Linked DNA regions of Ovis aries. The protein of the gene in region 1 interacts with the protein of each later gene in a pairwise test. Links are inferred from orthologs where the notes say so. Each region holds a gene or a part of one and is shown on either strand. Other genes may lie near its edges. The genes, in order: CYTH1 and ITGB2.

Region 1 (6,660 bases):
GCAGCAGAAAAGGGATAAGCCGAAGCTAATAAAAGCTGAGAGGAGTAAGGTCTGTATTTGGGAAGTAAAGGTCTTGAACAGCACATGGGTTCAGGGATCTTAAGAACCTATGCTCAGAAATCCGATTATTTCGTCAGAGTCGTGATATAGAATCATCACCACTAACATTTCCGATGTTACTACTGGATGGACCCTGCCCATCTCTACCTCAAGACCTTTTGTAAGAGAGAGGCAGGCAAACCTCTGGAGCAGCAGTTCCAAGAGTCAGAGCCGTTCGAGAACTGAATTAAAGCAAAGGACTCTCCAAAAATGCACGTTCACAAACTCTCACATACAATCTCAGAGGGGCCTGAAAGCCCATTAAGAAGCAGACTGCGTGTTAAAAATGTCTGCTTGAATTCAGAAGTAACAAAAAGGAATACAGTCACTGAGTCCTTTCGTGGGCAGGGAACGCTATGAAGGTAAAAATACCTCTTCCTTTTACAAGTGAGAACTGTGACATCCAGGAAGTACAGTCATCTAATAAGAACGTAAAATGACCCCCCAAAAATCCCAACTATTTCAGGGTTTAGAAAGAAGGGGGGGCGGGGATAAAGACCAGCCAGCCACAAGCATTAGGAACATCTTTCTTAAAGTGTCAATTAAGCTTTTAGAAAACCACTAATTCCACATTTTTCTTAAAAGAAAAAAAAATGCTTTAAATTGACTTTTGTTTAACCTCCCCCCCACTTCACACAGGTGTTCACAGTCTGGTTTATCACACCACATGTGTAGTTTGAACTATGCTGTATGGATCTAGTGCATTACAACTAGACCAAATAAACAACTCAGGATCACAGGGAGTGAACAAGAGAAAGGGCTGCTGAACTCAGTGGTGTGGTTTCTGGGTCAGCACAGAACATCAAAGAGTATGCAGTTAGGAAAAGCCTTCTGGTGAGTTTTCAAAATTCTCTTTCGTTGAACAGAGAAACTCTAAGACACATTCTCTTTCTTTAGCTTATTATAAATGAGTTATGCTTCAAAGGTTTTATCTAGCAAGGTGATAGCATGGAAATCATAAACCCTGTCCCCAAAGATACAATGTTAAAAAATCATGGTAGTGACCTAGGCTGACTCATGAACCACCAATGGAGGTTCCGAGGGAACCCCCTGGACCTGGCATTCTATGCACTGTTTGAGTCCACAGCACCCACTTTAGTTTGAAAGGTGGAATGTGAATAGTTGTCTTATCTTTTGAGGTAAATTCTCTGTAAAACCTAGGAGAGAAATGGAAAGTTCTGGAGACTGAGGCAAACCTTAAAAAGAACTAGGAACCTTTTTCTTGTTATGATCATCTTGAACCATTAGGTACTTTTTGTGTGGTAAACCCAATGAGTGGGGGAAATCTTTAAATCAACCTTTCTGCTTCCTCCAATATACGAAGAATATGTTTTTTTTTTAATTGTACAAACAGAAAGAAAAGAACAACTTCTTCCTCATCTTTATGTGTGGTCAGCAGAATAATGGGCCCCAGAGATAGCCCTGTCCTAATCCCAGAACCTGGAAACACGCCGCCCCTACGTGGCAAAAAGGGGGTTACCATTGGAGAACTAAGGCTGCTGATCCTTATCCTTATCAGGTGGGTCCAATGGCGTCACAGAGCCCTAACTAGAAGAGGCAGAAGCCAGACAGAACTGAGAAGATGCTACCTGCTGACTCTGAAGGTGGAAGGCAGCCAGCAGCCAAGGAACGGGGGCAGTCTCTAGAAGCTGGAAGAGGCAAGGAAACAGATGTTCCTGTTAGGACCTCCAGAAAGGAACACAGCCCAGTAAACACCTTGATTTTAGCTTAGTGAGACCAAATTTGGACTTCTGACCTCCAGAACTGTAAGATAACAAGTTTATGTTGTTTGTGCCAATCTGTTACAGCCGCCACAGGAAACAAATACACCCTGCTTCCATTCACCCTTTCTGAGCACGAATTCATGCCATGCCTGGTGGCAAAGCAGTCATTGTGTTCAAAGCAACCAGACCAACAGCTTCCTGCCTCGAGCGGTGGGTAAGACCACCAGGAGAGGGCATGAAGAAAGCCTGGATTAAACAGCAAGAGATGGTACAGGAGCACGCAAAGCTGGAGAAGGCTTCTCCTGGGTGGGCAGAAACAGACACCTAAGTGGGGCTGAAAAGTCCTTTGGGATCAATCGTGGGTGTTTTCTCTTTTTTCAATCACAGAGGAAAAGCACACACTGCTTTTACTTGGAAGGTAACCAGGGGACATCTGATGGACACCGATCCCACGTGCTCTGGCCTTTCCCCTGTCTGCCACTGTGGGTCATAAACCCACCTATTGCGGTCAGTGGTTCCTCAATGACTTACTCGTAAACAAACAGAAAAGTAACAAGGTGCTTCACCTTTCACATTTTAACATACCCCACAACAAAGCTTGCTCCCTCAGAGCTTAAGAAACAAACGTCGCCTATGTCACTTAGTCAAGAAAGCGGATTCGCTTCCACTAAGCCACACAAGCATTTCAAACTGCTGTCTGTACTCTGCTTACCAAACCACAAAACTTCACCACTTGTTCTATCTGCCATTCTTTCATCTCTTGGGAATAAAACGTTAAATAAATTAACGAAAGCATTCCACATAGCCTTCTGCCAGCCTGGCAATCTGAAGCCATTTGACAGACGAATGCCCTGCGGATGGCCAACAGTTCCCAGGTGAGGTCAGCAGAAGGAGGCTTTGGAAACGGGTAGTTTTGTCAAGCGTTCGCTGTCGGTGTGGCGTGAGGGCTGTGCCGCGTCTCTGGGCACAGATGAGAAGGCAAAGTTGGGTTTCTCGGCGCCCCTCGGGCTCGCCCCGCAGGCGCTGGGGGAACAGCAGCCCCGTTTCCGCGGAGAGGCGGTCAGCCTCGGACCCTGGGGTGGCCGGCGGCAGGAGATCCCGGCCCCGACGGCACCGTCAGGTGGCAGCCTGTCCACTCGGGGTTCGCTGCCTGTGTTTTCTCATTTTTGTTTCTGAACAAAGACATGGACCAGGGTACATAACTTGCCAGCACCGAAGGGGCCGGAAACTACGGAGAACGGCCGGGGGAACTTGAGCGTTCGCGGGGGAGGCTGGGCCTGCGCGGGACAGCGGCCCGAGACCCCCGCCCGAGACCCGGACCCCGAGACCCTCCTCTGAACCCCGCCCTAGACCCCGGCCTCGAGACAGACCCTCACCCTGGAGGACTTCCGCCTCGGAGACTCAGGCCCCGAGACCCCGGTCCTACGACTGCGGCCCCAGAGACTGGAGCCCGGCGACCCCCAGCGCCGGCCCCCGAGACCCGTGCACCCCGACGTCGGCCCCTCATCACCCCTCAGCCTTTAACACTCGGGGCCCCCGGTGCCCCCTGCCCTGAGGAGGCCCCCGCCCCGCCCGGCTCGCGTCCGGCACCACAGTCCCCGGGAAACGTGAGTCGCCTGAGGCGCGGCCAAGGCGCCGGGCCGGTGAAGGGAGGAAGGGAGGGGGCGTCCGCCGGCCGGACCGAGGGCCGTACTGACCGTAGCTGTCGTCTTCGTCCATGGTGCCGGCGCCAGGCTCCGCGCCTGGGCTCGCCGCTCGCCCCAGGTCCCGCAGCTCCCGGCCCCGTTCGCCCGGCGAGTCTCAGAGCCCCGCCCCCGGCCCCAAGCCCGCCGCCCGCCGCCCGCCCCTCGTCCCCCGCGGGGCGCCCCGCCCGCGGCCTGCGCGCGCGCGCACACACACACACACAGAGCCCAGCACGCGGCCGCCTCCCGACCCGCGCCTGCGCACGCGCGCCCGCCCAGACCCCGCCCCCGGGCCTGCGGCCCCGCCCCCGTCGCCCGCGCGCGCACCCCTGGGGCCGCGTCCTCTACTCTGCCCAGGACTGCGTACGCGCGCCCGCCGAGGCCCCGCCCCTCTGGCTGGCCCCGGGCGCCGAGGCCCCGCCTCTGACCACGCCCCAACCCGAGGCCCCGCCTCGGCCGCCTCCGGGGGCCCAGCAGGTTTCGGATTTCCTAAGGGTGGCGCAGGCCTGGGAAACAGACCAGAGCCCAGCCGCCCACAGAGGTACCAAGGTCGTGTCCGGCCACTCAAGGGCAGGGTGGTCCTCGCTGACGTTAGTTTCACAGGTCCTGCTAGTCCTTGGCCGAATACCAGAATATTTTGAGTTCATTATTTCTGCAGTCTGAACCTTAGCACCGTGAATGTCATGAGTTCATTGCCTTTATATACTTCCTTTTCTTTGTCCTCTGAATGTACCCCGATCAAATTTCAAAGAGAGGCACCTCAGCCTCACAGCATGTCAGGATTTTGGTGACCTTGATTCCTGCGACTGTTGGATTCATACGTTTCTAGGCTGTGCCTTACATGTTTTATTTGCCTGCACTGGGCTGACCGACCAATCCCCACCCACTGGTTAGACTGAGCTGCCCTTTGAGGAGCCTGGGCAGTAGTTCTGCACCTGGAGGTGGGGACATCACCAATTTTTAATTCAGAAAAATAAACGAAAATGCTGCTTTTTTACTTGTTCCTGGATGGATATGCTCTTTCTTGATTTGGTGCTACACATAAAAATTATAAGTGTGTCATTTGGAAGGATCACACAGGGATGGTCCAGGACCCTCCTGGGGGGCATGACCCTGGACCCCCTAGCACAATGTGCTGTACTGGGGGTGCTGCGGGAGAAGAGCTCAGCCCAAGGTCCTGGCAATGCCCCTGAAATGTCAGGGAATATCTCCATCAGGGGGAGTTGTGACCCTTCTCAGCAGTCTGTTTCCTTACAGACCGTTCCAAAACATGCCTCCCGGTAGACAACAAAGGAAAGTCCCTTTCCTCTCATGGAAAAGGAGTAAATGAATGAGGAAACTCTAGGTTTTCTTTCCACATCTGCTTCCTATTAGCTCTGTGATCTGGGCAAATACCTCAGCCCCCTGGACCTGTCTCACACCCGTGAAATGAAGCATCTGCCTATAAAATCCAGGCTCCTGCCCAGTACTGATCTGTGATCTGTTGCTGTCTTCTGCTTGACTTCAGCACAGCTGACAATGTTTTTGTTTGATGAGATGGATTCCAACATTATCAGTCTAAGGGATCCCAATCTTCACATTCCATCAGGGTGCAGCTCTGGCCCACCCTTCTGGTGGCTAGGAAAACTGTGCATTCACAAACAAAAATATCCCTGTTACTCCCTGAGCTGTCGGACCCAGGCTTTGACGGTGAAGCTTGATGTCTCCCGTATGTCCAAGAAGATGGGCTTTATTTCCTTAGGCAAGTGTTTCTTTCCAATAGCTCCAGAAATCAGACACTTCCCTCACAGAGATTATCTTATCCATAGAAGCTTGATTCTGGTGGACCTAAGAGTTTAATCTTCATTGATTTTACATAACTCTTGCTCGATGACCAAAACTTGGGCAGAAAAGCAACTGAGGCCACAGGTTAATTCTCCCTGTGATCTGAACTCCCAAACCTTTGGATGGGAAGGGCATGAATGCTAATCACTTCGATTAGCCTGGTTTTTGACTGTAAACAAATCCCCTTAACTTACATTGTTTCATTACAACAGTGTTTTCCAGTGGCAGGTCCTGACTCTGAATGGTTGAAAAACCAATCTCCATTGAAGGAAGAGAAGATAGAATAAAAGAGAATCAGCATCCACCTTGTACCGTAAGGATAATGTTTGGTTTGGTTGTAAATGAATGCACTGGGTAGGGACGTAAAATGTACTTGACAACATATGCATGCTCAGTTGTGTCCAACTCTTTGTAGCTCCGTGGACTGTAGCCACCAGGCTCCTTTGTCCGTGGAATTTTCCAGGCAAGAATACTGGAGCAGGTTGCCATTTCCTATTCCAGAGGATTTTCCCTGACCCAGCAATGGAACCCATGTCTCTTGCATCTCTCGCATTGATAGGCAGATTCTTTACCACTAGCGTCACCTGGGAATCCCTACTTGACCACTGGTGACTGTCAAAGACCCTCTGTTAGCTCATGTTCCTCGCTCAGGGGCTGCGGGTGTCGGGGAGCGGGGCAGGGGTGCGTTGTTGAGCTGTTATCTCCATACTGTGGATTTGGGAACCGAGGCCCACAGAGGTCACAGTATAAAACGGGAGCCAGCAGGTCAGCTTCTCTTACTACTTGTGACCTCAGCTCCTGGGGGCCTCAGAGGGAGACCTCAGAGGGAGAGTCTCAAAGGGAGGACAGAGCGGAGGAGCCGAGAGAGCCCAGCGTCTGGAATCCACTGGTCTGCTGCTTCCCCTGACCCCCTCCCTGCCCACATCAAGAACTTTGAAAATGGGCTGGGGCTCCCTGCAGGCCTGTCACTGTGGTCTGTTCTCTTTAGTGGGTTGATCAGCCTGACAACTTTTTTTTAAGTTGATGCCTCCCTTCCGAAGTCCTTGCCTTACAAAATAATCTCAAAAATTAGAATAATGAGGGACTTTGTTGGCAGTCCAGTGGTTAGGACTCCAGACTTCTACTGCAGGGGGTGAGGGTTCGATCCCTGGCTAGGGAACTAAAATCCCATATGCTGTGCTGCACAGCCAAAAAAATAGAATGATGAAGGATCACTCTGCTTTTTGAGCAGAGGTAACCCAAAATATATCTATTTTTTATCCCATGCTTAAACTGTGATGCTTTGAACTTTTTTAGAAACAGTGTTCAAAAAGGGACAGGTTACTAGATAC
Region 2 (6,110 bases), on another chromosome or scaffold:
GGGTGGGCCTTTCAGCAGGAACCCCGTGCAGACCTCCTGCTGTCCTTCTGTGCGGGCGATGGCAGCCTAGACCACTCGGCGGAGGGAAACGTCTGCCAGGCGCTCCGCCGTGATGTCAGTATTTCCCCTTTGCAATTAGTAATTTGTGGGGAGATACTCTGAAGCCGGGGAGCATTCTACTTCCCTTGAAGCCTACACCCACTCACTCTACCGTCCATCAGCTGATGGGAGCTCGAATCAGTTGTCACTGGGATGGTTGCAGAACGGTGGCACTCCTGTTCATGACTCCCTCCAATGGCTCCTAACGTAAGAGGAATATTTCCTTCCTGCAATCTCCTTCTCTCTTTCTCATCGGTGTGGACCCATAGATGTTTCTGTTACTCCGCAGTTTATAAGGTATCACTTTCACTTTGTCATTTTGAAGCTCAAATTGTTCCCCATTTGGCCATGGGAGCCCCGGGGCTAGCCCTGTGCCCGACTAGCATACCCCAGTATCACTTCCTGAGCTCTCTCTCTGGGATCAGCAGGCGCTCCTGGCCCCTTGGCACTTGCCTGGCCCCCACCAGAGGGTTCCTGGTTCCCTTCATGAGAAGCCAGGCTCCCAACATTCACAGTACATTTCCCCATTTCCTCCTCCTTTGACTCTGGGGAAGTGGTTACAGAGTTGCTACCCTTAGCACTGCAGGGAGGAGATGGGTGTGGTCTGCGTGCTCTTCTGTTACCAGCAAGCAGTCACAGTCCAGCTTGCAAAGTCCCTCCTCAGGGTGGGTTTCTCCCTTCCCTCCTGTGAGCTTCTTGTTTGCATCTGAAATGCAGTTAGGTTAAACTGCTTCTGAGCACATTCCATTTTAGGGATTTCTTCCCTCCCCATTCCTGTTAATTTTATTTCCCTAATACTTAAAGTGGGCTTCCCAGGTGACTCAGTGGTAAAGAATCTGCCTGCCAACACAGGAGATGCAAGAGATGCTGGTTCTATCCCTGGATCAAGAAGATCCCCAGAAGGAGGAAATGGCATCCCACTCCAGTGTTCTTGCCTGGAGAACCCCATGGACAGAGAAGCCTGGTGGGCTACAGTCTATAGGGTTGCAAAGAGTCAGACTCGGCTGAGCCACTAAGCACGCTCGCAGGCACGCAGCAGTTAAAGCATTACTAGGGCCTCAAAAGATCATGGCATCTGGTCCCATCACTTCATGGGAAATAGATGGGGAAACAGTGGAAACAGTGTCAGACTTTATTTTTTTGGGCTCCAAATCACTGCAGATGGTGACTGCAGCCATGAAATTAAAAGACACTTACTCCTTGGAAGAAAAGTTATGACCAACCTAGATAGCATATTAAAAAGCAGAGACATTACTTGGCCAACAAAGGTCTGTCTAGTCAAGGCTATGGTTTTTCCAGTGGTCATGTATGGATGTGAGAGTTGGACTGTGAAGAAAGCTGAGCGCCAAAGAATGGATGCGTTTGAACTGTGGTGTTGGAGAAGACTCTTGAGAGTCCCTTGGACTGCAAGGAGATCCAACCAGTCCATTCTGAAGGAGATCAGCCCTGGGATTTCTTTGGAGGGAATGATGCTGAAGCTGAAACTCCAGTACTTTGGCCACCCCATAAGAAGAGTTGACTCATTGGGAAAGACTCTGATGCTGGGAGGGATTGGGGGCAGGAGGAGAAAGGGACGACCGAGGATGAGATGGCTGGATGGCATCACCTACTCGATGGACATGAGTCTGAGTGAGCTCCAGGAGTTGGTGATGGACAGGGAGGCCTGGCGTGCTGTGATTCATGGGGTCGCAAAGAGTCGGACACGACTGAGCGACTGAACTGATCTAACTGAGGGTCTCAAAAGTGAAGACAGTACAGAGGCAGCTCAGGAAGCACCGCCCCTCTAATGGCCATGTCCCTTTAGTCTGGCCCTGCCCCCTGAGCTCTCTGGCCTCCTTGTTGGTTGTTCAGGGGCTCCATCATGTCTGACTCTGTGACCCCATGAACTGCAGCACAGCAGGCTTCCCTGTCCTTCACCATCTCCCAGAGCTCGCTCAAACACATGTCCATTGAGTCTGTGATGCCATCTCGTCCTTTGTCGTCCCCTTCTCCTCCTGCCTTCAATCTTCCCCTGCACCAGGGTCTTTTCTAATGAGTCAGTTCTTTGTATCAGGTGGCCAAAGTATTGGACCTTCAGCTTCAGCATCAGTCCTTCCAATGAATATTCAGGCTTGATTTCCTTTAGGATTGACTGGTTTGATCTCCTTGCAGTCCAAGGGACTCTCAAGAATCTTCTCCAACACCACAGTTCAAAAGCATCAATTCTTCAGCTCTCCGCCTTCTTGATGGTCCAACTCTCACATCCATACATGACTACTGGGAAAACCATAGCTTTGACTATACACAACTTTGTCAGCAAAGTAATGTCTCTACTTTTTACTGTGCTGTCTAGGCTGGTCATAGCTTTTCTTCCAAGGAGCAAGTGTCTTTTAATTTCATGGCTACAGTCACCATCTGCAGAGATTTTGGAGCCCAAGAAAATAAAGTCTGTCACTGTTTCCCCATCTATTTGCCATGAAATGATGGGACTGGATGCTATGATCTTAGTTTTTTGAATGTTGAGTTTTAAGCCAGCTTTTTCACACTCCTCTTTCACCTTCATCAAGAGGCTCTTTAGTTCTTCTTCACTTTCTGCCATAAGGGTGGTGTCATCTGCATATTTGAGGTTACCGATATTTCTCCTGGCAATCTTGATTCCAGCTTGTGCTTCATCCAGCCTGGCATTTCACATGATGTATTCTGCATATAAGTTAAATAAGCAGGGTGACAATATATAGCCTTGATGTACTCCTTTCCCAATTTGCAACTAGTCCATTGTTCCATGACTGGTCCTAACTGTTGCTTCTTGACCTGCATATAGACTTCTCAGGTGGCAGGTAAGGTGGCCTGGTATTCTCATCTCTTTAAGAATTTTCCAGTTTGTAGTGATCCCTATACAGTCAAAGGCTTTAGCGTAGTCAGTGAAGCAAAAGTAGATATTTTTCTGGAATTCTCTTGCTTTTTCTATGATCCTAGGTATATTGACAGTTTGATCTCTGGTTCCTCTGCCTTTTCTAAATCCAGCTTGAACATCTGGAAGTTCTCAGTTCATGTACTGTTGAAGCGTAGCTTGGAGGATTTGTAGCATTACTTTGCTAGCATGTGCTGCTGCTGCTGTTGCTAAGTTGCTTCAGTCGTGTCCGACTCTGTGCGACCCCATAGACGGCAGCCCACCAGGCTCCCCTGTCCCTGGGATTCTCCAGGCAGGAACACTGGAGTGGGTTGCCATTTCCTTCTCCAATGCATGAAAGTGAAAAGTGAAAGTGAAGTTGCTCAGTCATGTCTGACCCTTAGCAACCCCATAGACTGCAGCCTACCAGGTTCCTCCATCCATGGGAGTTTCCAGGCAAGAGTATTGGAGTGGGTTGTCACTTCCTTCTCCGTGCTAGCGTGTGAGATGAGTGCAATTGTGCAGTAGTGTGAACAGTCATTGGCATTGCCTTTTGGGATTGGAATAAAAACTGACCTTCTCCAGTTCTGTGGCCACTGCTGGGTTTTCCAAATTTGCCAGTGTGTTGAGTGCCTCCTATGAGGCCTCCTGTCTGGTTGTTATCCCCTAGTCTCCCACTGGGAGGAAGCCGGACCCACCGATGCAGCCCCTTGGTTCTCCCTGCCACAGCGACATCCAGGGAGCCTTCATGAGGGCAAAGTGGTCACGAGGAAAATGCCCTGTACCCAGGACCCCCACGCTCCCCCCTGTCTTTTCCTTCTGATCTGCTTGGCCCAGAGCCCTGTCCTCTATTCCAGGTTCCCAGGGTGCCTAGGCACTAACTGGTGGGCCAAGAGGGGCACCTGCGTTCCATCAGGAGAGAGCCGCTCCCTGCCAGCAAGGCACTGCTGAGGAAGGGGTTGAAAACCTGGGCCGGATGCTCGATTGGCCATGGAGGGTACCCATGGGTCCACCTGGAGCTGAGATGCTGGCCTTGAGCCGCTTCCACTGCTAGAGACTGTGGGGAGACGCCCACTGGCGCCAGGCTCTCCTGCAACCCCGAGCCTTGTGAAGAGGCTGCCCAGCAACCCCCATCCCTGCCTCCCCACCCAGGGACTTCTTCCTGAACAGTGGGGCAGATGAGGGGGTCAGCCTGGCAAGGCACCCACAGCGTAGGCTCCCATATTTCCTCTGTGCTACCCCTGACCCCTGCCTCCCCCAGAACTTCACAGGGCAAGGGGAGCCCGACTCCACTCGCTGTGATACACGGGCGCAGCTGCTGTCGAAGGGCTGCCCAGCTGATGACATCATGGAACCCAAGAGCCTCGCTGAGACCCGGCAGAGCCAGGCGGGCAAACAGAAGCAGCTGTCCCCAGAGGAAGTGACTCTCTACCTGAGACCAGGTAGGCTTGGCTGGCTAGGGGTGGGCCAGCCCTGATGGCGCATGTATCCATGTGTCCCTGCCCCAGGAGGATGTTCCCAACGCCCCGTCTGCAGCTGGTGCCTAGTCTCGCTTTTAGCGCTGAGTTCTGCATCCTAAAAAAAGGGAGAATAAACCATCTGAAAAACACTCCTGTATCCCTCCCTCAGAAGATGAGGTATTTTTGGCCGAGTGAAGGCTCTGATAAGGCCTGTAAACTAGGAACCCAAGTAAACCTTTGAATCAGTGTAGCCCACCTGACTTGACCACAGACCCAGGTTTAGGACACAGCTCCCTGTTAGCACTCCAAGAAACACCCTTCAGGAAGGTGGCTTGGTGGAGCAGCAGGGGGTTATGGTGAATGGGCCTGGGCAGGGCTGGGGCGGCCACATCGGGGAACTGATGCTGGAAGGCGGCTGGCAGAGGGGACTTGATTGTCACGGCTTTGTCGAGCACCAGCTGTGTGCCAAGCACCTACCTGAGAGCTGGGGACACAGGCTATTTGTACTGACAAGGAAAGAAGTCATTACAAGTGCAGGCGGTGATTAAGACGACGAGGAGCAGAAACCAGGGCGGCTGTGATTGAGGAAGGAGAGGGGGGGTGTTCCCAGGATGGCCAGGGAGCCCTTTTGGGCACCAGCAGGTTTGCCTAGCGGCTGGTGGTAGAGAAGGCCTTGCCGGGGAGACCCAGAGAGATCCAGGTGGAACTGAATCTCAACAGTGCTGGATAAACAATGAGCACTTCTTCTATCTTCTTGTATCCAGCACACCTTGTATCCAGATGGTCTTCTATGTCAGAACGTGCGCTTTACCTGAAATCGGGACCTGAATAGGCTTCCTGCATTTTATCCACCAGCCTCAAAGAATGGGGGAGTCCTGAGGGTTCTGAGGCCTGCAGAGGCATCAGTGCCCCCCAAACCCCCCACCCACAGACCAGGTGGTACACCCTGACTCTCTCCCAAATCCTGGCAGGTCAGGCAGCTGCGTTCAACGTGACCTTCCAGAGGGCCAAGGGCTACCCCATCGACCTGTACTATCTGATGGATCTCTCCTACTCCATGGTGGACGACCTTGCCAACGTCAAGAAGCTGGGGGGTGACCTGCTCCGGGCCCTCAATGACATCACCGAGTCGGGCCGCATTGGTGAGGCAGCTACTCCATCTTGCCCTGAACTCCCAAGCCCTGGTCCCAGGCACCTCTGCACCTCTGCACCTCTGCACCCCGAGGGCATGGTGCCAGGCCCCTCCCCACATGCTGGGCCTTCCTACCCCGCTCTGGTAAGAGGCTCACGGCCCCCCACTGTCCCCCAGGTTTCGGGTCCTTCGTGGACAAGACAGTGCTCCCCTTCGTCAACACGCACCCCGAGAAGCTGAGGAACCCCTGCCCCAACAAGGAGAAGGAGTGCCAGCCGCCGTTCGCCTTCAGGCACGTGCTGAAGCTCACCGACAACTCCAAACAGTTCGAGACAGAAGTCGGGAAGCAGCTGATCTCGGGGAACTTGGACGCCCCTGAGGGTGGGCTGGACGCCATGATGCAAGTGGCCGCGTGCCCGGTGAGGCTCCGTCCTGAGCAAACCTTCTGAAGCCCAAATACGAGGAAATGACCCTGGAAAGCAAGACCCCTTTGCCGCCCGATCCTGGTAGTCCCCCTACTTCCAGAGTCCCTCAGAGAATAAGGGTGTCC

The links.
Region 2: the proteins of CYTH1 (region 1) and ITGB2 interact in a two-hybrid assay, tested with the Homo sapiens proteins (2 studies listed by BioGRID). The link is inferred for Ovis aries from reciprocal best matches to the Homo sapiens genes CYTH1 and ITGB2.

Annotation. Positions count from the first base shown.
Region 1 is NC_056064.1:52,902,148-52,908,807, reverse strand, and holds the start of CYTH1 (cytohesin-1), read right to left. Parts: upstream 3,624-6,660; 5' UTR 3,543-3,623; coding exon 3,521-3,542; intron 1-3,520. UniProt on the Homo sapiens protein: Promotes guanine-nucleotide exchange on ARF1, ARF5 and ARF6. Promotes the activation of ARF factors through replacement of GDP with GTP.
Region 2 is NC_056054.1:265,484,793-265,490,902, reverse strand, and holds part of ITGB2 (integrin beta-2 precursor), read left to right. Parts: intron 1-4,229; coding exon 4,230-4,410; intron 4,411-5,399; coding exon 5,400-5,570; intron 5,571-5,737; coding exon 5,738-5,979; intron 5,980-6,110.